Linked DNA regions of Rattus norvegicus. Each later gene encodes a partner of the first gene's protein in a complex. Links are inferred from orthologs where the notes say so. Each region holds a gene or a part of one and is shown in the gene's direction. Other genes may lie near its edges.

Region 1 (3,970 bases):
CTGTAAAACAACTTTTCAACCTAGCTAAACTTGGGATTTACATTACATATATCCTTCCCATTGATCCTTCCCTTTCATTGTATCTTTCTAACAATTGTATCTAACAATCCTTCCATGTCTCTACTATAAAACGGACCTCGAGAGGCCGACAGCGGTGACACAGTTGACTAGCCAGTCTGGGTGCATCCCAAAATTAGCTTGCTCTAATTGGACAATCATGGATTTGGTCTTTTTAATCTGTGACTCTCGGTTTTAACACAAGGATAGACAATGCTACCCTGTCTCAGAAAACAAAGCTAAACTAAAGGAAAGGGTTTTGTTTGGTGTTTCTTTGTGTAGCCTTGGCTGTCCTAGAACTAGCTCAGTAAATAGACCAGGCTGGCCTGGAATTCACCGAAATCCAACTGCCTCTACTTGTGTGCTGGGATTGAAAGCGAGTGCAACACCACCCGCTAAATCAAAGACTTAGGGTTTCACTGTATGGTTCTGGCTGGGCTGGAACTCCACGTAGACCAGGCTGGCCTCTATTGCTATAGTCCTCCTGAGTGCTGGGATTAAAGCCACCACACCCCGCCTGGAGTTGTCTGACTTCAAAGACGAGATTCTAGGTTCATGCGTAGCCCTTGTCTCTGTTTCCAAGGGACGCTATGGAGGATCTCAATTTTGAGGGCGGCATTTGGCAACATAGCGAGTTCCTGTCAAAGGGGGAAGTGGTGAAGCAGAAAGAAACGAAAGCATCCCGCCGGGCTCCTGGGGCTGCAACTGGAGGTGTGAAATAAACCGGAGGCTTTAAACTGGTGTAGGTGTATCCATCTAGATCTAGGAGCAATGACACATCATGCCTCGGGACCTCCAGGTGGCTTTCGGTCTTCCCAGCCCGCTGCTCCACCCTTCTCCACCGCCTCCGCGCCGCTCTCTCGCCGGCCTTCACCTGCCTGCCTCCAGCACAGCCGTCCGGGCCGCGCCCTAGGTCCCGAGACACCTGGGTCAGAGCCACCGCCCCACCAGCCTTGCGCAGCGCCGGAAGCAGAGCGAGGCGAGAGGGCGCGCCCATACCGGGCAACTCTCATTGGTCTTCTCGGCTGCCAGTCCCCGCTCTGCTTTTTCTCTGTACCTCCCTCTTGGAGCGGCTGCCGGGCGGGGACTTCCGGTTTGGGCGGAGCGGCTGGCCGAGGGCGGGGCCGTGTGGAGGAGGAAGCGGGCCAGGCCGGGCGGCGGCTCACCAGGGCGAACCATGGACAGCCAGGGCAGGAAGGTGGTGGTGTGCGACAACGGCACTGGGGTAAGACCCGGCGGGGCGGCCGCGTGTGTGTGCGGGGTGCGCGCGGGCCCTTCGGCTGCGGGGGCGCGGGCAGGCGCGCGGGCGGGCTCTCGAGGGACGCGGGCTCGCGGGAGGACGTTCGGGGGGCGCCGGCCGGCCCTGAGCCGGTGTCCCGGAGCTAAGCTACCCCGCAGTGCACCCGAAGGCGGCGAAACCGGTCCCCACAGGCTCCCGAGCATCCGCCCGCGTCCCGAGATGTAGGTCTAGGTGGCGAGGAGGTCTCCATTTCCGAGCCTCGCCTGTGTCCGTCCATACAAGACCTAGCGGCCTTCCTCTTCCTGTGTAGCTGAAGATGCCGAATGCGAGGCAGGAAACGGGTTCCGCAGAGAAAAGAGGAAGTGCTGTCAGGCCCTGGGCCGCGGCCCTAGCTCTGGGCTTCGAGGCTGCCCCCGGAGAGTGTGTGGGCTGTCCCTGTCGTCTGTGGTTTTGAGAGAGGGGGATGGTCGGCGGCTTCTGCTTCACCTCTTGGCTTGCATGCAACTCCTCATAGACCCTCGTCTGTGGGAAGACTTAGGAGACCTAGGGCCTCTCAAGTCGTTAATTCTAGTTGGATCAGTACTAGATAGAGACTTCAGTCTTAAAGATGCTAAAATTGTCAAAATCAGACCAAAGCTCAGATTCGGAAAACTATTTGCAACTGGTTTCTTTCTATTCCCAATTAAAAATGAGTTTGGAGCCTCAAGGTTCCAGTTTTGAAGGTGCAAATGTTTCTTTTGAATGACTTCTTCAGTGATTTCTATTTTAGCGTTGCAACATTTTGCGACTTTTCTCCTCTCTGCCACAAAGATGACACACAAATTAAAATAGATTTTACTTGAATTATCTCTTTGAAGCCAGGTTGTTAAAAAGGGAAAGGAGCTGGTATTCTCTGCCACTAGAGTGCCCTTGGTTGAGTTGATCACAAACTTTGACAATTATTGTTCTAGCTCCATTTAAGCTAAAACTGGGCTTGAATAGCATAGGTAACAGAGTACAAAGGGGCATTCATACTACTGCTGTGGTAACAGATCACAGTAACTTAAAAGTTTTCAAGCAACGCCATTTATGTGTTCGTTAAAGATACTTATGTTGCAGACTTCATGTAGGGATACAGAAAATGCATCTCCGGGGTTGGGGATTTAGCTCAGCGGTAGAGCGCTTGCCTAGCGAGCGCAAGGCCCTGGGTTCGGTCCCCAGCTCCGAAAAAAAAAAAAAAAAAAAAAAAAAAAGAAAATGCATCTCATATTTTTTGAGATAAAGGATAAAGCAGTGAGGAAAACTATGTAGAATTTTATAAAGCTTCTAAATTATCAGGAAAAAGATTTTTAAAGCAAAGCATGTATTGTTACACTATATTCAAACTAAATTATAAATGTCTAAACTTTTCTTAAAAGTCTTATAAAAGTGCTTATTTAAAAAAAAATACCATCTTAACTACCAAAGGGATTACTCAACAGTTAAGAGCCCTTGTTACTCTTGCTGAGAACCCAAGTTTGAGTCCTAGCATCTGTGTGGTAGCTTACACCTATCTGTAATTGTAGTTCGAGGGTACTCAGTGTCCTCTTCTGGCCTCTGTGGGTCCTAGGCATACATGTGGTACAGACATCCAAGTAAACACACATAACACTTAAAATAGCAATAAGTCTTAAAAATATTTAAAAAAGCAGTAAGTCTTAAAAGTATTTTTAAAAGCTGAAGTCATGGCGTACGTACTCCTTTTATGCCAACATTTGGGAGGCAGAGACAGGCAAATCCCCATAGCTGCATAGTGAGACTCCATCTCTTTCTTTTTCTTTTTCTTTTTTTTTTTTTTTTTTTTTTTAATCCCGTTTCTTAGGACAAAGATCAGCTACTATGGTTTAAGTGAAAGGAGCTAACTCAAACAAAAAGTTTTGTATTTGGTATTATTCTTGTAGTTACTTAAAAGCTCTATTCACTTTTTTTTGTACATATGTTTGGCTGTGAATGAAATAGTCATATCCTCATATTCATAGATAGCTCCGATTTAAATCATAACACAGTTAGGAATATTGTGATGTCCCTTAAGAAAACTTGAGGACGGCTGGGGATTTAGCTCAGTGGTAGAGCGCTTACCTAGGAAGCACAAGGCCCTGGGTTCGGTCCCCAGCTCCGAAAAAAAAAAAAAAGAACCAAGAAAACTTGAGGACTAGTACATCCTTAGATTCTGTTTTGTTCCCTAACTGCTTATTCTTCTAAAGTCATCTCAGTTTTACTTAGGGACCCGAAGTTATAATGATGTCTTTACAATTAAATATTAGAGAAGACATTATGATTCGAGTTTTAAAAAAAAAATAATAGAAAAGGGTTTGGGGAAATGGCTCAGTGGATAAGTCCCCAGAACCCACATGGATCTGGGATTGTAACACCAGTGCTTCCACCACAAGGCCCGAGACAGAGAAAGGAGAACCTCAGAGAGCTTTTGGGCTAGCTGAAACTGTATGCAGCAGTGGACAGCAAAAGACAAAGTGAAGGATGAGGACCAGCACTTGAAGTTGCCCTCTGATTTCCAGAGGTGCACGCTCCATAGCATGCATTCTCCCACACGCTCACCCAGGGATCCTCATATACGTACCATCTAGTCACACACATAACGGGGGCTGGAGGTGTAGCTCATTTAGTAGAGTGCTGGCCTGATGTTTGAGAAACAGA
Region 2 (4,042 bases), on another chromosome or scaffold:
TCCCTGGGGCCTGTGTGGTGGAAGGAAAGCCCATTCACAAAAGTTGCCTTCTGACCTCAGGACAAGTTTGCACACAACAAGGGATTTAAAATGTAACTGACTACAAAGCAAGTTCTAGACTAGCCAGGGCTACACAGCGAGACTCTCAAAATACTTAGATGATATATGATGGGGTCAGTGGTAGGTCTGTTTCCACCCTTTCAGACATGTGGCATCACCTGGGCCCTTATAATACTTGGTTTTCTTGCCCACCTAGTCCTTACCGTGATCAGGAAAGACCTAACACCATACCGTGTTGAAAGAGTAGGGATGGGGCAGGAGAGATGGCTCAGCGGTTAAGAGCACTGACTGCTCTTCTAGAGGTCTGAGTTCAATTCCCAGCAACCACATGGGGACTCACAACCATCTGTCATGGGATCTGATGCCCTCTTCTGCTGTGTCTGAAGATAGCTACAGTGTATTCATACATGAAATAAATAGATAAATATTTTTTTAAAAAGTAGGGATGATATATGATACACATTTTGTGGATGGCAGGTCAAGGGGTAGGGAGACAGAGATACCACCGTAGGCATTATAAAACAGCAAAATAAAATAACGGAGTAGTGGAGCACACATCTGTAATTCCTGAACACAAGTGGAGACAGATAAGTTCATGTTCATATATATGTATATGCCAGCCTCGACTTCTTGTGACTCTTAACAACATAAACATTGAAAAATAAAAATAATGGCCGCCGGGGCTGGGGATTTAGCTCAGTGGTTAGAGCGCTTACCTAGGAAGCGCAAGGCCCTGGGTTCGGTCCCCAGCTCCGAAAAAAAGAACAAAAAAATAATAATAATAATAATAATGGCCGCCAAGTCTGCTTAGTGTGCAAGAGTTTCTGAAAACAGTTTATCCCGAGTCTCATAATGGGAAGTCAGATCTCACTTCCCCCACTTCCCCCACTTGCACTGTGGTTAAATTAAAAAAAAAAATAGACATGGCAGAAGGGTAAATCGGGGAACTGAGTGTTATTGGCTTTGAAGCTGAAGCCAGGGAATAAGGAAAAAACGGGAGTTGATTATTAACCACTTGAGAGGGATTCTTCAATTCTAAAGCCCATCCATTTTTTCTGAGTGCGTTTTACGCATGCGCCACACTCAGAGCTTACTGCTGGCGCGCCCCCTGGCATTCATTGCGATCAGTGCAGCTGTAGCAAACAGCGGAAGCGGGTCCGGAAGTGCGTTTATTCGCTTCGCCCGCCTCTTCCGGCTTATTTCCGCCCACTCCACCCAGTCTAGTTTGCCGGAAACGCTGCTCCGCTTTACCTGGGTTCAGCATCTCTAGATCGAATCCGGACACCGACAAAATGCCGGTAAGTCTTCGAGCCCCAAGGTCGGGGAGCCGAGCGGGGCGAGGGCCTGAGGGGAGGCGGGAGACCTGCGTCAAAAGGCCTGGGGGAGAGGAAACCGCCCTGCTCTCTAGCCCCGGTCCTTTGCCTCCAGCACCGGCTCTCTCGCCCCGCTGCTTCCACTCCCAAACCCCCAGTCCTGCAGTGTTCCCAGGTCCCACTCTAGAGCCTCAAACCTAAAAATGATGGCTTTTATTTTTAAACCTAGGGTCCAGCTTCTCCCCCCCCCCCCCCCCCGCTCTTGTCATGTCCACTTCCTCCTCCGCCCCAGGGAGTGAGTCGGCCTGCTGCTAATCACCTGTCAGACTTCACTTCCCTGATGGACCCCTTCCATCGTCCTCCCTGCTGTAACTCCCACCCAACTCCCAGACCACCACTGAGTCAGCGCTAGTTTCCAGGAGTTTCCTTTTCCGTGTGCATCCGAGTGGGAGGAAATTGATGCCGATTGCACATTATAAAGGGACGCTTGAATAAGGTCTACCTTCATTGGACAAGTGTTACTACTGAACTCTCACTGGGAAGCCAGCACTGTTAACAGCAGCAGCTAAGGCCCTCTCGGGGAGCTGATACTTTAACGGAGAAACAATAACCGCGTAAATATAAATAGGAAGTAGCTTCAGATCTTAACAAACGCTGTGAAGAAAATAGATCGATGGCAACGATGGTGGCAATTATTTCATCCCAAAACTTGAAGGCAGAGGCAGGAGAATAGCAAATCTCAGATCAGTGTGGACTGTGTGTGTAGTGAGTTCTAGGTCAGCCTGGGTTACATAGCTGTAAGAAATGGAGAGAGGCAAAAAAAAAAAAAAAAAAATACTGGGGAAAGAGCTTGTTGTGCGGGAGTATAGCAGATCATGCTTCTGACCCCAGCTCTGTTGAGGCAAAGGACAGTCAGATCCTCCGAGTTCATTGGCCAGCCAGCCTAGCCAAAAATCAGCAAGTTCTGGGTTCAGTAAGAGACACTGTCACACACACAAATACATAGTAGGACTGAGGAGGTGTCTCAGTGGCACAAGTGTGAAGACCTGAGTTTGGATGCCTAGCACCCAAGTAAAACAGCCAGGGGAGGCAGCTCCTGTGGGCAATTCCAGAGCTGGGGATGTATAGAGATCCCTGAGGCTCCCAGTCTGAAAAATAAAGTGAAAAGCAGTGAAGAAAGAGACCTGTGGCCTCCAGCTGGGGACATACACATACGTACCAGTATGCGCGCGCGCGCGCGTGCACACACACACACACACACACACACACACACACACACACACACACACGGGCATGCATGATCATGTGCAAAAAGTAAAACCAAACCAGTGCCTGATGACGGGTTGGGGGAACAAGGGACCTGGGGATGTGGGCAAGAGGTTGGCATAGGTAAGGCTTCTTAGGGCAAGCATAACCTTGAGCTGTGTGTGTGTTTGGGCAGCAGTGGGGAACTGAACCCAGGGCCCCATGGCATGCTACATACACAGATGCTCTACCACCGAGCTAGATTCCCGTGTCTTTCTTATTTTTGTAAAGGGGTCTCATAAAGTTGCCCAGGCTGGCCTTGAATTTGTTATCCTCCTGCCTCAGTTTTCCATGCAGCTAGGATCGCAAGCCTGCCTGGCATCACCATGTTTAGCCTTGGAAGATTTATGATTTTTATGGTTTCTGACTATTGAGGTACATGTGAAAACCCAGAGTTATTGTCCAAAGAGCCCCCAACTCTCAGGATGACAGTGTAAAAGAGATGTCCATGGCATTAATATCCTGCTGAAGGACTTGGGGCTCAGCAAAATTCAATGACTTGGGCAATGTTTTGTGGGGTTTTTTTTTTTTTTTTTTTTTTAAGATTTATTTATTTATTTATTTATTTACTTATTTGTATGGGTACAGTGTGGCTATCTTCAGACATGCCAAAGAGGGCATCAGACCCCATGACAGATGGTTGTGAGCCACCATGTGGGTGCTGGGATTTGAACTCAGGACCTCTGGAAGAGCAGTCAGTGCTCTTAACCACTGAGCCATCTCTCTCACCCAACCTAGCAGTGTTGCTCATGAGTAGTGAAGCCAAAGTTAAAGCTAGAACTGAAAAGCTCTGTGTGCAAGCCAGGTGGACACAGAACGAATGCTCTAGACTTAGTCTGTGATTGCTTATTTGGTCTGCTTTCTCTGTTAGCTGGAAACATCGTATATATAGCTTCATATCAGGAGAGACGGTTCAGCTTGCTGCTATTGGAAACACATGCACAAGGCGCCATGAGCTGGACCCAAACTGGGCTATCAAGCACACTGACCTGGGAATCAGTGCGGTTCTTGTCTCTTCTCCATTAGCTGGGGTCTAGCCTCATAGCCTTTCATGGCTGGCAAGTTTTAAGAGAATCTTCACGTAGGACGTGAAGGGCAGGGCGAAAGGGTGGACCCCTCAGGCCCTGGAGTTGCAGCAATGCAGACACATCTCAGGATAACAGAAGTGTTACCAGGTGGTGAGATGAAAAACCACCTAAGGGTTGGAGAGATGGCTCAGTGGTTAGGAGCACTGGCTGCTCTTCCAGAGGTCCTGAGTTCAATTCCCAGCAACCACAATTCTGTTCCAGCGTCCATACCCAGCAATTCATAGCTGCCTAGTTCCAGCTCCAGGGACCCCAGCGCCATCTGCTGGAGTGCGTGGA
Region 3 (4,166 bases), on another chromosome or scaffold:
TTTTTTTTTTTCCGGAGCTGAGGACCGAACCCAGGGCCTTGTGCTTGCTAGGCAAGCGCTCTACCCCTGAGCTAAATCCCCAACCCCACACATTCTTTTATAAAGATTTCTTTCTTTTTTTCTTTTTTCTTTTTTTCGGAGCTGGGGACCAAACCCAGGGCCTTGCGCTTGCTAGGCAAGCGCTCTACCACTAAGCTAAGTCCCCAACCCCGATTTATTTCTTTCATATATATGAGTACACTGTAGCTGTCTTCAGACACCCCAGAAGAGGGCAGGGGATTCCATTATAGATGGTTGTGAGCCACCATGTGGTTGTGGGAATCGAACTCAGGACCTCTGGAAGAGCAGTCAGTACACGTAACTCTGAGTCATCACTCCAGCCCCTACCTGCACACTTAAAACAAATATTCCCACTATCAAACCAAAAAAAAAAAAAAAGTTCATTGCATAGAGAAGGGGCTTAATTAAAATTGTTCCTGGAAGAGAGAAAAATGGAAACATGGTACCCACGCAGAAAGGACAGTGGAGCACAGTGATAGAAAATTCTAACTGTAGCAGAGTTACTGGACCATGAGGATCACCTGAGGTGCACTTAAGCAAAGAAATGAAGGTGTGACAGGAATCCCGGAAGGCCCATCTGGATTCCTGTTAACTTTCTTGACTACTCATTCCTTTCCTTTATTGCCCAGTAACAATGTGTAGTTCATTGAGAATTTATTGTGTCTCCTTTATCAGACCATAAGCTTTAGGAGGGTAAGTCGTCATATTGCATTACACGATGCCCACTAAACAGTCGCTGGCAAAGAAAGGCACGAAGGTGCTGCAGGGTAGCCCTAAGTAAAGAGCATCCACAAGTTAGAAGCAAGAAGTTCCCCCAAAACAAGCTTCTTACGGGGTTTCAGAAATAATACCGGAAGGGTGGAATCGGGCCTCTGGAATATTCGGGAAAGGCGCAGGTGGATTGTAGTAAGGACAACAGGGAATGACAGGTGAGCGTTGGACTCAACTGGTCAGGAGAGGCGGGGCGGCGTGCCGCGCATGCGCACGCATGCCCTCTGCTTGCCTCCTTACCGGGACGCGCTTGCGGGCGTGTGCACGCTCGAGGTCGAAGCGGAAATGGCGCCGCGGGGCCGCGCGTCCGGGCGGCGAGCGGAAGTGGGTGTGAGAGCGGAAGTGGCCGGCTGGAGCCGGGGGCTGGGCGGGGACCGGGATCGTCGGTAAGGCGGCGGCGGAGGCGGCGGCGGCTCGGCAGGCGGGTTGAAGCTTCGGGGGCCAGGTCGGTCGGGTGGTGGCTGCCTCTACGGGCAGCGCGTGCCGGGCCAGCGCGTGTGTCCGCCTCTCCCCACCCCGCTCCCCGTCCCCTTCTCCCCTCACCTACCGCACCCAGCCCCCCTCGTCAGGGGCAGCGGGGCCGCTCCCTCAGTCCTACCCTCGCTTGCCCACCCTCACCGCCCTTGTTTCTCCTTCCCCTGCTCGGGGCAGCCGCCGCCATGATCCTGCTGGAGGTGAACAACCGCATCATCGAGGAGACGCTCGCGCTCAAGTTCGAGAACGCGGCCGCCGGGTAAGCGCACACTGGGAGGAGGCCGAGTTGACCCTAGCTAAATCCCGGGTGGCGTCCAGCTCCCCAGCCCTAGAGGGAAGAGGTCGGGAACCTGGCGCGGCTTCAGGGTTTCCTTAGCAGGATGGACGTGGGAAGCCACGGGGCGCGGTAAGCCGAAGGCCTAAGATGCGTGGGGAGAGGCTGAGACAGGGATGCGGAAGCAACGAGAGGGCAGGAGCAAGGCGTGCCAGAGAACAGACGACCTGTGGGACGTGAGGGCAGCCGAGGCCAGAAGTCACGTCCGAGAGCCTACTGTCCTAAGGGGGAAAGAGAGGGCCCCACTTTCCTCTATATTTACCGTCATTGTTCCGAACCCAGAAAGACCCTTTTGGGGAAGCTGGATTGAATGGAGTTTTTAGGAATTCCCAGGATGAGGTGGGAAGAACATGCAGGCCCAGATCGCCACCGGCATTCTGCTTCCCCACCCCCATCTCTCCCCCAGGAGAAGCAGGAGGCAAGACTGAAAGCAGACCCAGGCTTCTAGGAGGGAAAAAACCCTCTAACCTACTGCGAGAGACACTAGCCATTTTGTTACATATCTCTTAGGCAAAGCCAACAGTTCTCCATCCACTCTCTTTAGCTCTCAAGACAAGGTTGATTTGGTTGGGTGTCTTAAATTCTTATCCAAGACACCTGATCTTTGATTTCTAGTAATGCCCGCTGGGTTAATAGCTGCCTCTCCCAGAATCTATAAAGTTCTTAAGATAATTATTTATTAACATCAGCATCTTAATATGGGACGTATTTCAACCCTTCTCTGTCAAACACAAAAAAGCAAACTCCTCCCTTAAAGCTGCTTTGCCTCCCTAATGTATTTAAAACCTGAGCAGAGGTTTTAGGTTCTAATTTATGGTGGCCTGTGGCCACTCCTTTGCCTCATTTCCTCATTGGTGAGGATGGGGCTTCACATTTTGGTTTCACAGTTAGGAGGTAAGTGCAGACTGTTTCTGTGAACGGGGAACTGGAAATAGGAAAGTGCTTGCAGATCCACAGAAAGGAGAGGATTGGAAGGGGGGATTCATTCATTCTCCTCTTTAATTCTAAGCATTTATAATGAATGTGTGGTTCGCTGACACTGAAAGCATGGAATACATTGCCTGTTCTGTCTCTTTTGTAAGGCTCCACGTTTTATCTGCAAACAAAATAGGACAGTCCTTGAATTGGTGCGTTCAGTGAACATAGTTTCCTGCCCTGAGTGCCGTTGAGCACATGCTGCCTATTCACTCGCTCTTATTCACCTTGTTTGCATTTTGAGTTTTGGAATTAGTCGACACACCGGGGCTTATTGTAGGTGATGGGGTGTGTGCTTTTTTTTTTTTTTAATTAGTGTGGCACAAATGAGGAAGTTAAGATAACTTCTGCATTTTCACAACTGATCTTAATACATACATTCTCAAGTCTTGACTAGCAAAGAATGAGTCCTGGGTGGTTATAAGCGGATCTACAAGATAAATGGCTGCGTGTGTTCAAGTGGAGGCATGCCTTTAAATGGAGGAGGACTTTCATAGTTATTTATTTGTTAATAACTTGATTCTAAAATGTGACCCACTATTCAGAACCTTATGTAGCCCTTTTACTTTTAGAAAACTCTCCTTAAAGTTCTGTGGTCGGTGATGTATGCCTGTAGTCCAGGCACATTCAACTGTAACCCCAGCTTTCAGGGGCTCATATGAGCGAGACAGGAACAGCAAAAGTTCCAGGCCCTAATGAAACCTTGTATTTAAAAAAAAAAAAAAAAAAAAAAAGGCCAGGCCAAACTAGGTGTGATGTGCTTGTAATCTCAGTTCTTAGGCCATCCTGGCCTACCTTGTTGCAGAAAGATTAAAATAGAGTTTTAAATTTGGAGGGCATAAGTTAGAATTTCTGGTTTGTTTTTTGTTTTGTTTTGTTTTTTTGGATAAGGATGCTCACTGTAGCCAGGTTTAATGTCTGAGGCAGTAGTATGTTTTGTCTTATTTAGTTCATCCTTGGGATATGTGGCTTAACAAATATGCTCAAAACATTGTGTTTAAAAAAACTTTGAGAATCTTTGAGAAGAGACTGTGAAGGGCTGGGGTTTCCTGAGATTGCCTGTTTCTGCAGGGTGTGGTGGTACTCTCCCATAACCCTAGCACTCCTATAACCCTGGCAGCAGGGCCAACACAGGTTCCAGGCCAGCCAGGGATTATTTAGTGAGACTCTGTCTCAAAAGAAAAGAAAAGCCAACCTCTAAGCAAGTGTGCTCCAGTCTGCCTGTCAAGATGAGGCAGCACTGAAGTGGTTACTGAGGCCACGCGTACACCACTGCTGTCTTCTGCAAGGATGGGTCTCATCGGAGCTCAATGCCAGGCAGCAGTTGAAAGAACAGGGAGCCTTTTGAAGACAACCTGTTAGCAAAGTTAGGGAGGAACTGATGGACAAGCTCTGTTGGGAGAGGATAGAAAGCTTAAAGAAAAGGAGTAGCCCAGAGAGACTGTGCAGAGTGAAAGGCTGTGCAGGGTAGAAACCTGGGAGAGCTCAGCTCCACACTGCTCTCTGCACTTCTCAGAACAGATTAATAGGGAAATTCTGTTCATGGTAGCCT
Region 4 (4,091 bases), on another chromosome or scaffold:
GTCCAAGACAGCCAGGGTAAAACAGAGAAACCCTGTCTCAAACAAAACAAAAATCCCTTTTGCCTGATGAACATCCATGAACACAAGCTAGAACATTATTTCATTCATTAGTTTATTTGAGGCTATTTACCTGTCAAACCAGTATTTCTGGTATTAAGTTCCTTCTGACCAAGATGTTCTAAGGGAGGGACTGGAGTGATGGCTGGGCAGTTAAAAGCACTTACTGCTTTTACAGAGGACCTGGGGTTCCATTCCCAATAACCATAAGACATGGTGGCTAGTAACCATCTGTGTAATCCCAGTTCCAAAAGGATCCCACGTCCTTTCCTGGCCTCCAGCAGGCAATACACCCAGGTGGTGCTCAAAAATACTTGAAGACAAAATATTTAAGAAAAATAATAAAGTTGTTCTGGGGATATGAATTCCTGCTATCTTCTGATTAACTTGCGCCCCTATTACTTCTTAGGTATGAGGCAGGACTACATTCAGGATCTGAGTCTTTATTCAGCGTGTACTTGCCCCCATGGGAGCTTGCCTTTAGCATCCCAAGGTTAGGGTGCATCAGCCTGGAAGTTTTTGATTTGAAGTTAAAGGAGAACTATGTAAAGCAAAACCATGTTTCACCTGATTTTTGTTCGCGTTCTATTAGGTGAAAATATAATAGCTTTCGTATAATTACAAAAAAAAGGATTCATTTTAGCCTACGGTTGAAATAAAGAGAAACCAGCATCCCAAGCGTCCGTCCTAGAAGCCACCTTCCTCCCATCGAATTATGGGAATTCTGTAGTTTTCGCCTCCTAAAATGCGCCTCTTCAGTTAGGAGTACAGGTGGCCATGAGTCATCTTTATTTTCTGGAACGCTCGCAGGGGTCGGTACATCCTCAAGTAAAGTTGTTACCAAGCGTCCTGCCAGCCCCGGGTTATACATTAACGCCTTTAGAGCCGTTTAGTTTTAACAAAGAAGTCCCTTGTGGGTCAATGCGGTTAGTGTTTAAGAGACTCCGGCACTGCGGTTCACTACCACTCATCTCCATCAGCTCATAAACTTCTTCCTCCGGAGCGGACAGAGGCGGAAGATGTCCTTGCACTGCAGTCCGGCTTCTGGGACGACAGAGTTACGCCTGCAACCTCCGACAGCACTACACCAGCTTTCCACAGTCCTGCAGCGCAGCCCTGCCCACAAGAGTTTCCGGTTCCGGTGCATCCTGGAAGTGGGCGGGCGACGGCGGCTGCGCGCGGAGGAGGGGAGGAGGTGCCCGGCGGCCGCTTCCCGCCCCCAAGCGGAGCCGGTGCGGAGGGAGCCGGTACGGAGCGAAGCCTAGGCGGCTGGGCGGCCGCCGCGCTCCCGCCATGGCCCGGAACACACTGTCCTCACGCTTCCGCCGAGTGGATATCGACGAATTTGACGAGAACAAATTCGTAGACGAGCACGAAGAGGCGGCGGCGGCGTCGGGCGAGCCAGGCCCCGACCCCTGCGAGGTAGACGGGCTCCTGCGGCAATATCCTTCCCAGCGTGGCGGCCCGGCTTGGCCTTCGCACCCTGATCACCCCAGCCCCAGTCCCGGTCCTCCGGTCTTCCGCCCCTCCCCCCTCCCCCTCCGGGCTCCTGCCAGCCCCAGGCTCCCCGGGTCCGTCGTTGGTGGCCTCACGCCTTCTCAGCAGCACGGCCCAGGAGCTCGTCTCACTCTCGGCCTTGCTCTGCATCCTTCAGGGTGACTGTGCATCGGCCTTGGTATCCCTTTATCCCTCCTTGTAGTAAGCGGGGTCATTCCCGGGTGCTGGTCCTCAAGAGGGACCGAGGTGAGCCACCTTTGATTCATCGGGCAACCAGGGCCACCTGCGCTTGTCTAACTGGCTTTCTTGGGCCCGATTGCAGCCCAGCACGAAAATAGGTGGGTGGATGGTTGGAGGAAGACTGACTGTAGGGCGGAGGTGGGGGAGGTGCAGCTTTAGGACCATCCCACAGGTGTGGTATTGCCTGCTACCTTTTCTCGCCTGTCTCCACTTACCACAGCAGGTTGGGGTTTGGGCCTTTATGGGCCGAGTACATTCAACAAGTAATGCGACTCTGCCATTAGCCGTCTTGTGCAGAAAGCGTGGAAAAAGCTAGTGATTCAGAGCTAAAATACACCATACAGTGTCAAGTGTAAAAGTGGCTCCCTGCGACTGAAAATGACTGCTGGTGGCCACAGAAAACAAGCATTTATAACAGAAGAGTAAAAATAGAGGTGATTGTCACAGCTGGCTTGGTCTCTTAGCAGTTGGAGCACCACAGGAAACTGATTTATTCTCACAGGAAGATTTTTTTCTTTATTCAAATAGCTTGACAGGAAGTGTGTACCCCTCCCCCGTACTTGCCAGGATAGGGTTGAAAGCTCTTGCTGTATATAAATCAGGTTTAGTTGACTCAACCTGGGAAGTCAGGTGTACAGCTTTTGGGAGGAGTCCTGTAGTGCTCCTCTAATGTAGCTTGAAAACAACCCTTTTAGACTGAACAGGAATGTGTTTTTCAAATGTGGATATTTCAAACTGGTATTTCCTGCACCATTAAGTTGGTTAAAATTGGGTCATGAGAAGGCCCCTAGAGGGAAGACTGGTTTATGTGCAGTCACTGTTGACAAGGCAATGTATTTGGGCCAGAATCCTAAGTATATTGATGAAGAGGCTGGGATCTGTCAGCTGCTGCCTTGGTATTGATGCTGGGACTTATTGAAGGCCCTGACGGTTTTTTCTTTTCTTTTTCTTCTGTTTTTGGAGGTAGCTTAGAGGCACTGGCTTAGCTCATAGAGGAGATGGCTTCTACACTCATGGCAGTGTCAGAAGCCTTGTTACCATGGAGAGAGTACCTCTTGGTATTGGGAGAAGAGAGGCTAGCAGATTAGAAGTGAAACCCTAGCAGGATGTTAGGCCCAGGTAGGGAGAAGGATCATTGAGTCCCTGTCAGGTGACAATCATTGCATTCAGTCTATAGAACCTCATGTGAGTCTAAAGGGAGAATAGCAGAGAGATTTGGGGGATGTTTGCAGGTGGCGGTCTCAGGGCTGTGCTGGGAATTGTCATTGTGGAAGAGCAGAATGTGGGAATAGAAAGCCACTGTGTGCTTACATGGACAGACAGAGTCTAACCTGTTTTAACTGCTGCTGACCACATACCCTCTCAACCCCAGCACTCTTCTTAAACGATAGAGACAACTGTGTTGGTCTTACCGCTTCAACGGGAGCATAACTGAACACACACCAGATATCCTCCAAAACTTGGGTCCAGGCTGTAGTAGGGGCAAGGGATGGTAGAAAGGGCTTGGATTTGAAGGTCAGCTCTGAATGTAGCTTTGTGACCTTGGGCAGGTAATTTCCCCTCTGACTCAATTTCATTGTCTTTAGGGTAGAAGTCAGGCTCTTGTCCTGGAGGGTTTTTAGAATAAGGTGAAATGTGACTGCATCTGGTCCTGGGTCCAAGACCTCCAGGGAGAATTTTTCCTCCACTCCAGCAGTTTTAAAGTACCACTGTAGCTCATTTTCTTTCTTGGGAAACAGCTTCCCAAGTAGGACTGTAGAACAGTGGTTTTGAGTGATTTTGTAGTTTTTTTCACCCCACCCCAAGGAAATCTGGCAATGTTTGGTGATATTTTGATTATTACAGTTTTGGGGTATTACTGGAAACTTTAGGGTAGAGACCAGGGAGGTTGCTAAATTGCTCTAGGGCCATGTCTGAGAATGGTCTATAGGGTTCTTCTGTTACCATAGCCTGTTCTCTGAAATTATTGGCAGCCATCTGGGTATGGAGGCCAGTTTAGTAAACATTGTGTGATTGTAGAGGTGCCTCTCTGCTCCCCATTCTACCCAGCATTTGTGGGCCTTTGGTTGTCTGTGGTTGCTTGGCAAGCTGCAGTACCGAGTCTAATGTTTTCATCCTTACAGACTAATTGTATCATTTCTGCCCTTCCCTATCTATTTTGTGAATAAAATGACTGTTAGTCCCCATGTACTGTTAGGTTTATGGGACCTGCTTATTGCCTGGGGATACCAAGTTAGAAAAGTTATGGGGTGGAGGGTTATCAGTGGCTTTATCAGGACTAGTCCTTGTTTGTCTGA
Region 5 (4,096 bases), on another chromosome or scaffold:
CTCGCAGATTATGAGAGCAAAAAAGTCGAAACTCAGCCACTGCTTTCTGATCCCAAGCCCAGTGCTCTTTTTCAGTACTGCACAACAAACGAGGTAACTCAACAGGATGACATCCAGCCTTCTGCTGTTTGTGAAACCAGGTAGATCTGCATCTAAGCAGAGCATAGCCAAGTGTCTGAATTAATTTTATTTTGTAAATACGTGTACGACAGTATAATGCACAGAGCACAGCTATTATTTGTTTAATCTTAGTGCCTCTGACGGGAATGTGGAATATCGCAAAAAAGCTGATCTGGCGTGCCTTAAACAATAAATAACAACCTTGAAAGTCCAGTTTCTATTAATCCTTGCACACGCTATTTTCCCTCAGCGCCAGCGCTGAAAAGCCTAACTCGCCCACCCTCTTCTGGCATTCTTGCTCCAAATAACTACTTATTTTAAGATGTGATGACTGATTCTAGAAAATGCTACAAGTTTGCCCCAATTTCGCTACCCGTCCCCAGCCCCGGCCCAAGCATCTTTTCCCTCCCTCCAGATGGAGAGAATACCGAGTTGAGATTCTGCAGGTCCGGCCGCGATGCTGTCCCCCAGCACTGACAGGTAAGAAGTGACCTTTCGACTCCGTCCTTGGGGACCTCCCACCGACAGCGTGCCAAGATCCCAAGCCCCGGAAGGGGCTCTCAGCTCTGGAACGCAGCCCCCGGCGGCGCTCGGTCCGAATGGAGGGCTCCGATCACTAGTTTCGTGCTGGGCATCACTCCGCCTCATTCTCCCGCTGACTGCAGGGGACTAGGTTCTGCAGCCAGTCCATCCCACCCCACGCTTAAGTCCGACCACCCACACTTCACACCGGACCCCAACAACAAGCGGCTGGCACCGACGGCGGCAGCACTCCAGGCCACGCGCCCCAAGTGCCCATAGCCTCCAGCCCAAGACCCCCCGCAAGGCTGGACCGCAGAAAAGCGTTTCTATGGGAACCTCCCGGGTGTCACGTGACGCTCCCCGGCGGCCAATCAAGTCTCCCGCTCCGCCTCAGCCCGCTTTCTGTCCGCCCGCCGCCCCCGCCTCTCTCCCTCCAACCCCGCCCCTTTCCTGCAGCGGGCCCGCGCGTGCGCCGTGCGTCCCGCGCGCTCCCTGGCCGACGCGCGCTCCCGGGGGACGCGGGGGCGGAGCGGGGGCTGAAGGATGGCTGGAAGCTGAGGAGGAAGCCGCGCCGGCTAGCGCGCAGGCCCAGAAGCGAGCAAGCAGCGGCTGCCGGCGACGCCCCAGAGCGGAAGAGGGAAGTGAGTCGGACAAGGCTAGGCTCGCTGAAGAAGAGGCACCGCGGAGGGGAGGCCAGAGTTGCATCGCGATCCGGGATGTCGAAGAACACGGTGTCGTCGGCCCGCTTCCGGAAGGTGGACGTGGACGAATATGATGAGAACAAGTTCGTGGACGAGGAGGACGGCGGCGATGGCCAGGCCGGGCCCGACGAGGGCGAGGTGGACTCATGCCTACGGCAATATCCTTACGCTCGCGGCGGCCTGGGGTTGCGGGGACACGGGGACACGCGGCCAGCTGTGCCCGGCTCTAGGTGGGGACGGAGGGCAGGAGGTCCCGGGGCTATCAGGCCGCCTGCACCCCGCGGCCGCGCCTGCGAACTTGCCGGCGCCCCGATTCCTCAGGTGCGCTGTCCTAAGCGGCCGCACCCTCTCGGGGGGGCACCGGATGACGCCCTAGTGGGCACCTGAGCTCCAAAAATTCCTGCCCGGTGGGGACACGGGTCCCGCCTGGAGTCTTGCTATTCTGTCGGGTGTGTGTGATTTGCGGAGCGGGCATAGTTTATTCTAGCCAGGAGAGATGGAACAAATTGAGGCCCTCCGTACATTCAGCCCATGAGCTTTTTCCATCAGCAGTGTTATTTATTAAAAGAAGAGGGTTTGGGCAAGGTTGCATATAATTTATGAACAGGCTGAAGGGAGTTTTCTAATCCAAAATTCCCAGGTAAGGCTTTGAGCCTTTCACCTGCTAAGAAAAGGCTACTAGGAAAAGGATAGGGAATGCATGTAGAGAATCCCTGGGAATAATTTAAGATGAACCCCAGTGAATAAAGCAGAGAATGAGTCACTTCTATAAATCAAAATCGTTTTTCTGAAATTGTTTCCAGGCTAGTTAAAATATGGCTGTCAGTTCCTGGTTCCTTGGTTTGCATATCTGAATATTCATAACCTTGAAAATCATTTGCATTGATCCCTTAGAAAAATAGAAATGTCACAAAACCCCAAATTGGAGCTTTAGAAAACTCGTATTCATTAAGTCTGTAGATACATATCTCCCTCATCGATTTTCTACTAGATTATGATGAAGAAGTAAGCAGAAATATTTAGTGGTAACCACAGCATCGAATATATACATATATGTGCCATATACGTTTAACTTTCATTACCACTACTTCCACATTGGTTGCTACTAATTTATTTATTAAAATACTTGGGATTTTTTTCTTTAAAAAGTGTTCTTTAAGAGACTATGCAGGCTTGACAGTAGTTTATCACTAACTGTAGATAATTTTTATTAGACCTTTTCCACAGAAGTGGTGAGTTTATTCTTCGTTTAAAGAAATCTTTATGGTGGATATGATATTTTATTAAACTAATGTATTTTAGGTAATTTCTGGTGATTATTATGACTGTATCCATTATTAATTCAGTCTACCTTTTCATCAATCCATCTTATCCAAATATAAAGGTACTGTCTCTGGTTATAACTAGGAGCGGCAGCCCCGGTTGGGTACTACAGATGGAGGAACAAGTGACTCTGGTTCTCCTTTTAGGGAAATGACTGTCTTTTCTGACAGTCTGATTGGCCTTCCGTTTCCCGTGCTTGCTAACTCATTAGTGCTTTCAGTACGAAGTAGGTATGGAGGGTCCAGCCCAGTTTGAATAACCTGTAGGAAATAAAGTAAGCTGCCACCTACAGGTCGTGTGGGTTATTACATCATCTGGAGCCCTGTTCATCAATATGCAGCTATCACGGCCTGTCCCACTCTGATTGCCAGAGTAATCTGCCAGCACCTCAGTTAATACACAGTGTAGTTTCAGTATCAAGTTTAGGCTTGTTTTCCAGTAAGAATCACGCAGACAGGATGGAATACTTTGTTGGTAAACTGCATCATTCGATGGCTTAATTCTTAGGCATATTCTAAGACTTCTTGAATACCTGTCTAGACAATTGTGTGTATTTCCCTGGAAAGTGTAATCTCTTTGGTTGACAGAACAGGTCAGAACAATCTTTGCTTTTAAAAAAAATCATATTCTTAAGCGCAAGGCCCTGGGTTCGGTCCCCAGCTCCGAAAAAAAGAACCAAAAAAAAAAAATCATATTCTTTTAATTTCATTATTTTAACCTTTGGTTGACATATTGGAAAGAAACCCATACAGTTAATGACCATAGTAGTTTTTGTTACTGTTCACAAAGTCAAGTCTAACCCACCAGTCCCATAAAGTGGGGCTGCCTTTTTTTTGGTTCTTTTTTTCGGAGCTGGGGACCGAACTCAGGGCCTTGCACTTCCTAGGCAAGCGCTCTACCACTGAGCTAAATCCCCAACCCCGGGGCTGCCCTTTCTGTTATGCCCTTAACCTTCACTACAGGAAACATGACCGCTGCCCTACAGGCCGCTCTGAAAAACCCCCCCATTAACACAAAGAGCCAGGCAGTGAAGGTGAGTGGTAAACTACAGCGTTAATCCCTTCTGCTTCGCTATTATCAAAGTCCTCTGACACCTACCTTCAATGACCATTTTAACTATTTACTGTGCTTGACACGAGGGTTTACAGTGTGACTTTTGTTTTGAGACTGGACCTGAGTCTATAACCTGGCCTGAAACTTGCAGAGATCTCCCGCCTCCACTGGGATTAAAGGCATGCACCACCACATCCAGCCCGAAAGGAAGCCCCTGCTAAGTAGAACGGTCATGGAAAATAGGGCTGACATGTGGTTAGGACGCGTGGAGCACAGTAAACAGAAAGGGTGGGGACACCAGCTCTGTGTGTGCTTAAGGAGCAATCTGCTCGAGTTGAATTCAAACAGGTTCAAAAAACACTCAGCTGCCTCTTAAT
Region 6 (4,218 bases), on another chromosome or scaffold:
CCAGCCCCCAAAACCTAAGGAGACTTTTCTTTTCTTTTTTTTTTTTTTCCCCCAGAGCCGGGGACCGAACCCAGGGCCTTGCGCTTGCTAGGCAAGCGCTTTACCACTGAGCCAAATCCCCAACCCAAACTTTAGGAGACTTAAGCGAAGGCTGGGGATGTAGCTCAGTGGTAGAGTGCTTGCTGTGTGTGTGCAGGGCCCTGAGTTTGAATCCCAACACCATAAAAAAAATCACTGGCTCAGCGGTTAAGAGCACGGACTTCTCCTCCAGAGGTCCTGAGTTCAAATCCCAGCAACCATATGGCGGCTCACAACCATCTGTAATGAGATCCGATGCCCTCTTTTGGTGTATCTGAAGACAGCTACAGTGTGTGTGTGTGTGTGTGTGTGTGTGTGTGTGTGTGTGTGTACACACTCTAATTCATTATGGCTGGTATGTGTGTGGAAGCAAGAAGATAACCTACCTGAAGGAGTCTATTCTCTCATTCTACTGTGTGAGTTGCTGGGAATTCAGTTCAGGTCCTGAGGCTGGGTGGCAAACACCTTTGCCATCTGAGCTATCTTGCTGGCCCATTTCTTAGTTTTTTTGAGGCAGGCTTTCGTGTAACCCAGGCTGGCCTTCAACTGGCTTAACACAGCCAAAGAAGAACTTGAAGGTCATCTTTCTTCCTCTACCTCCCCAGTGCTGGGATGATAGGTGTCACCATGTCACAGGCACCTCTAAACATACGAGTCACCCTAGAGAAAGCCTTCAGGTCTCGGTGTAAACGAAGCCCGAATCAGTGATACAGGATACTGCTGGGAGTTTAGGAAAGAGCTCTCCTAAGGTGGGAAGCAGAGAAAAAAAAAACTTCAGAAGCACATAACCTGGATGACCTTTGACCCTGGAGCATCACCTGACTCCGGTGGCTGCAAAGCTGTTCAGTAACTCGGAGGGAAGTGTGTGGAATACAGAAGCAAGAAGTCACCTGGAGTGGCCGGTGTCCTTCTTCCTGGACACCAGCGGTTCTGCTATCTTTGGGACACTGAGAGTCAGGGGAACAGCGGCTGGGGTGCACCTAGTGTGTGAGGGGCAGGGCCTGCAGGAGACATTAAGTTGTAGGGTGCCTGCGTGTGGCCTCAAACACCTTTGAATTGTTGGTGGCCCGATCTCGGGCTTCCGCCCTCTAGCTGCTCAGACAGCTCTCCCCTTCTCTTCCGGCCTCAGTTTCCCCATTCAGAGAGTAGTTAGGGGCAACAGCCTGCGCTCTCTGGACGAATCTTGAGCTGAGCTGGACTTAACTGAGGTCCAGGCGGCTTGGTACCCGGAGGGGTGGGCGGGCCCTGGGATCTGGCCACAGCCGCCTGGGTCCCGCCCCCGGTCCCTGCGGGGCTGTGCCCGAAGGCCCCGCCCCCCGCCCACGAGGAAGTGGCTGCGGCGCTGCGCGGGTCTCAGAGCCGGTTCGGCGCGTCGACTGTCCAGAGTCCGCGGCCGAGGAGACCCGAGGTGAGGGACGTGGGGTGGTCACGAGGTGTGTGTGGGATCTGAGGCTACCTAGAAGTCAGGGAACTCGAGCGATGTTCGACGGTGAGGGGGCTGAGGATGAGAGAGGAGTGGAGAGCCGTGTGCATGGGGGCCTGGTGGGGCTCCCGGCGAGGGTGGGGCTGGCGAGGAGATAATGGGGGACCGCGTTCTGGGGATGCGGGGTGCGGTGGGAAGGGTCGCAGAGAGTCCCCGCGCACTCCACGCCATCGAGGCGGCACAGCCCCAGCCCTCGCTCCCCCTCTTCGCTTTCCTGGCCCCGCTTTCCTATCCTCGCGTCCCGAGTTGCCCCGTTACTTTGGGCGCAGGGCCCCACGCCCAGTCACTTCCCCCTTGGTTCGCAGCCTTCCGGGTTGTTGAGACCGGGAAATGAGCTAGCACCCTGCCCCGCCTCACCCTCCCCCCCAGTGACCATGCCCACTCAGCAGGGGTCCAGGTTCCTGGGTCTCACCCGGTCTGGGCGAGTAGACCCGGGCGGCGCGAGGGGCACCCAGCCAGGCCATCCTGGACAGGGCAGGTTTGGTGGGGCCGGCGAGCGGGCAGGAATCCTGAACTGGGAGCCAGCCCAGGTGCTGGCCGTGGAGCTTGTTCCCGGGAGGCAGCTCCAGCCTGGGGCGGTGTAGCTGCTCCTGCTGTTGTGGCTGCTGACGCAGGCGAGCTACCTCGCCTGTGTAGAGCTCAACTTACCTTGCCGGAAAAATGGGGACCTTCCAGATCCGGAGGCTTAGCGGCCAGATGTGGCCAATACACTTGGCAGTGTGCCTGCCTGCCTGCAGACCTCATTTCTGCACTTGGGTGAACCTGGCCTTGTGTGGTGGTGGCGGTAGGGTGGGTTGGTGTCCGAAGCCCTGCGGGGCGACTTGGAGGGAAGTTCAACTTCTTCACGTGGACAATTAAAAAAAAATAGATTTACCAGGTTGGCTTCGACTGTAAGAGAATGTGCGGGGCTGGGAGACCGAGCAGGGCATCATAAAAGCACTGACCGGGGAGCATGAGGGTCTGAGTTTGAATTCCGGGACGTCCATGGCGCTCACACACACACACAAGTGCAAGGCAAAGTTCTGTGTGAATGAAAATTCCTAGTGATTCTCTTTTGCTCTGGGTTGTTTTGTTTTCTAGACAGGGTCTTTCCTCCCCTCCTTCTTTCCCACACCTCCCAGGCTGGCCTTGAACTCTTAGAGCTCTGCCTCCCCAATGCTGAGATTAAAGGTGAACACACACCGGGGGAACTTTTAAATAACAAATAACGTTAACCAGAGTTAATTTTGTTCTGTCTTGGTCCCTGGGCCTCGAATTTATTAGGCAAATGCTCTACCAATGAGCCACACCCTCGGCCTCCCCAGTGGTATGTGGGTTTTTCCAATCTGTCACTCATCCATTAAAAAAGGATTTTCTGTAGTAAAGAATCCCAGAGAGAGGGATTTAAAAGTTTGCTTTTTCAAGTTACTAAGTTCATCCGTGTTATTTTCTCCTTTTAAAGATTTATTCTTACGTGTTGGGTGGCGCGCACACACACACACACACACACACACACACACACACACACACACACACGCACACGAGCACACGAGCACACGAGCCCCAGGGTGGTGGAAATGATACCCCCTGGAGCTAGAGTATTTATTTGGTGGTTGTGGGTTGTGAGCTGCTGGAGTCCCAGGTTCGCTTGCACAGAGCCCTCTTTCCACCCTATGTTCTATCTGTCCTTACACAAGCTAGCACACTGCCCTTCCAAGGCACAGGACAAATGAGGCTCTCTCCACAGCCCTGCCAGCACCGAGTGTTCTGGGTTTTGGAGAAGTTTAATTTTGACTATCAAAACTGCTGTTTTACAGTATTTTGGAATTTATTTTCATCTGTGTTGCTGGATTTGACATTCCCCTCACTCACTCAAGGGCAGCCCAGAGGAGGAAGGGGAGGAGGAGGAGGAACTAGGGGCTTGGAGGGCCGATCACACCACCCAGGCTACCCACAACAGGAAGTTGAGTAAGGCTTAGCACCATAAAGAAGAAAAAGAAAGGGCTGCTGGCTCTGCTCAACTGAACGCCTGAGCTGGGCGGGGACTTCCTGGATTGCCTGTGGAGCCAAGGTTCTTGCTGCAGGGAACTCCTGCCTGGTCTAAGTCTCAGATCCAGCCAAAATGTGGATTCAAGGAAACAGAGCCAAGAAAAGCCAACTGAGAAGGAAGGACCAACAGGCTGTCCCCATTTGGGCCCAGGTTGGGGCCAGGGCAAAGGATGCCCCGCCCGGATGGAGAGTTAGAGGAGTATTTATTTATAACTACATTTATTTATTTGTGTGTGGGGGTGGGGGGAGTGAGAGGGCAAGTTACAAGAGCTGCTTGGTCCCTTGTTTCACTATGTGGGTCCTGGGGATCAAACTCAGGTCACCAGGCTAGGCTGGAAGCTCCCCCTATCTGTCTGTCTGTCTGTCTGTCTGTCTGTCTGTCTGTCTGTCTAATTTATCACAGGTTCTCCGTATGAAGCCCAAGCTGGCTTCAAACTCATGATCCTCCAGCCTCAGCCTTCTGTGTCTTTGATGAGCAGCAGCACACCCTGTTGGAGAGTTGTCAACCCTGTCATGTCGTCCCATGCTCCACACCCCCCCCCCCCAAAAAATAGTGTTTCTCGGTTCATCATCCCTCAATACAGACAGCAGGAGAGTGGAAATCATTCAGCAATGGTCAGGAAGTATTC

The links.
Region 2: Actr2 (region 1) and Arpc3 share a complex: the UniProt entries of both Homo sapiens proteins name them as parts of the arp2/3 complex. The link is inferred for Rattus norvegicus from reciprocal best matches to the Homo sapiens genes ACTR2 and ARPC3.
Region 3: Actr2 (region 1) and Arpc2 share a complex: the UniProt entries of both Homo sapiens proteins name them as parts of the arp2/3 complex. The link is inferred for Rattus norvegicus from reciprocal best matches to the Homo sapiens genes ACTR2 and ARPC2.
Region 4: the proteins of Actr2 (region 1) and Arpc5l are in contact, whole or in part, in a cryo-EM structure (PDB 6YW6), measured with the Homo sapiens proteins. The link is inferred for Rattus norvegicus from reciprocal best matches to the Homo sapiens genes ACTR2 and ARPC5L. Residues at the interface, in NP_005713.1 of Homo sapiens: Tyr225, Glu263, Phe266, Gln267, Arg319, Lys322, Gln323, Ser338; in NP_112240.1 of Homo sapiens: Arg11, Arg12, Val13, Asp14, Ile15, Asp16, Glu20.
Region 5: Actr2 (region 1) and Arpc5 share a complex: the UniProt entries of both Homo sapiens proteins name them as parts of the arp2/3 complex. The link is inferred for Rattus norvegicus from reciprocal best matches to the Homo sapiens genes ACTR2 and ARPC5.
Region 6: Actr2 (region 1) and Arpc1b share a complex: the UniProt entries of both Homo sapiens proteins name them as parts of the arp2/3 complex. The link is inferred for Rattus norvegicus from reciprocal best matches to the Homo sapiens genes ACTR2 and ARPC1B.

The regions. Positions count from the first base shown.
Region 1 is NC_086032.1:98,532,293-98,536,262, reverse strand, and holds the start of Actr2 (actin-related protein 2), read left to right. Parts: upstream 1-1,170; 5' UTR 1,171-1,234; coding exon 1,235-1,282; intron 1,283-3,970. UniProt on the Homo sapiens protein: ATP-binding component of the Arp2/3 complex, a multiprotein complex that mediates actin polymerization upon stimulation by nucleation-promoting factor (NPF).
Region 2 is NC_086030.1:39,844,637-39,848,678, reverse strand, and holds the start of Arpc3 (actin-related protein 2/3 complex subunit 3), read left to right. Parts: upstream 1-1,242; 5' UTR 1,243-1,352; coding exon 1,353-1,358; intron 1,359-4,042. UniProt on the Homo sapiens protein: Component of the Arp2/3 complex, a multiprotein complex that mediates actin polymerization upon stimulation by nucleation-promoting factor (NPF).
Region 3 is NC_086027.1:83,268,769-83,272,934, forward strand, and holds the start of Arpc2 (actin-related protein 2/3 complex subunit 2), read left to right. Parts: upstream 1-1,490; coding exon 1,491-1,564; intron 1,565-4,166. Other genes in the region: uncharacterized protein LOC103690558, read right to left, coding at 746-833, 912-1,392, 1,450-1,492. UniProt on the Homo sapiens protein: Actin-binding component of the Arp2/3 complex, a multiprotein complex that mediates actin polymerization upon stimulation by nucleation-promoting factor (NPF).
Region 4 is NC_086021.1:43,168,311-43,172,401, forward strand, and holds the start of Arpc5l (actin-related protein 2/3 complex subunit 5-like protein), read left to right. Parts: upstream 1-1,291; 5' UTR 1,292-1,350; coding exon 1,351-1,499; intron 1,500-1,711; exon of another isoform or gene 1,712-1,892; intron 1,893-1,938; exon of another isoform or gene 1,939-2,228; intron 2,229-4,091. UniProt on the Homo sapiens protein: May function as component of the Arp2/3 complex which is involved in regulation of actin polymerization and together with an activating nucleation-promoting factor (NPF) mediates the formation of branched actin networks.
Region 5 is NC_086031.1:67,453,083-67,457,178, forward strand, and holds the start of Arpc5 (actin-related protein 2/3 complex subunit 5), read left to right. Parts: upstream 1-1,296; 5' UTR 1,297-1,358; coding exon 1,359-1,501; intron 1,502-3,626; coding exon 3,627-3,699; intron 3,700-4,096. UniProt on the Homo sapiens protein: Component of the Arp2/3 complex, a multiprotein complex that mediates actin polymerization upon stimulation by nucleation-promoting factor (NPF).
Region 6 is NC_086030.1:14,606,689-14,610,906, reverse strand, and holds the start of Arpc1b (actin-related protein 2/3 complex subunit 1B), read left to right. Parts: upstream 1-1,418; 5' UTR 1,419-1,486; exon of another isoform or gene 1,487-1,511; intron 1,512-4,218. UniProt on the Homo sapiens protein: Component of the Arp2/3 complex, a multiprotein complex that mediates actin polymerization upon stimulation by nucleation-promoting factor (NPF).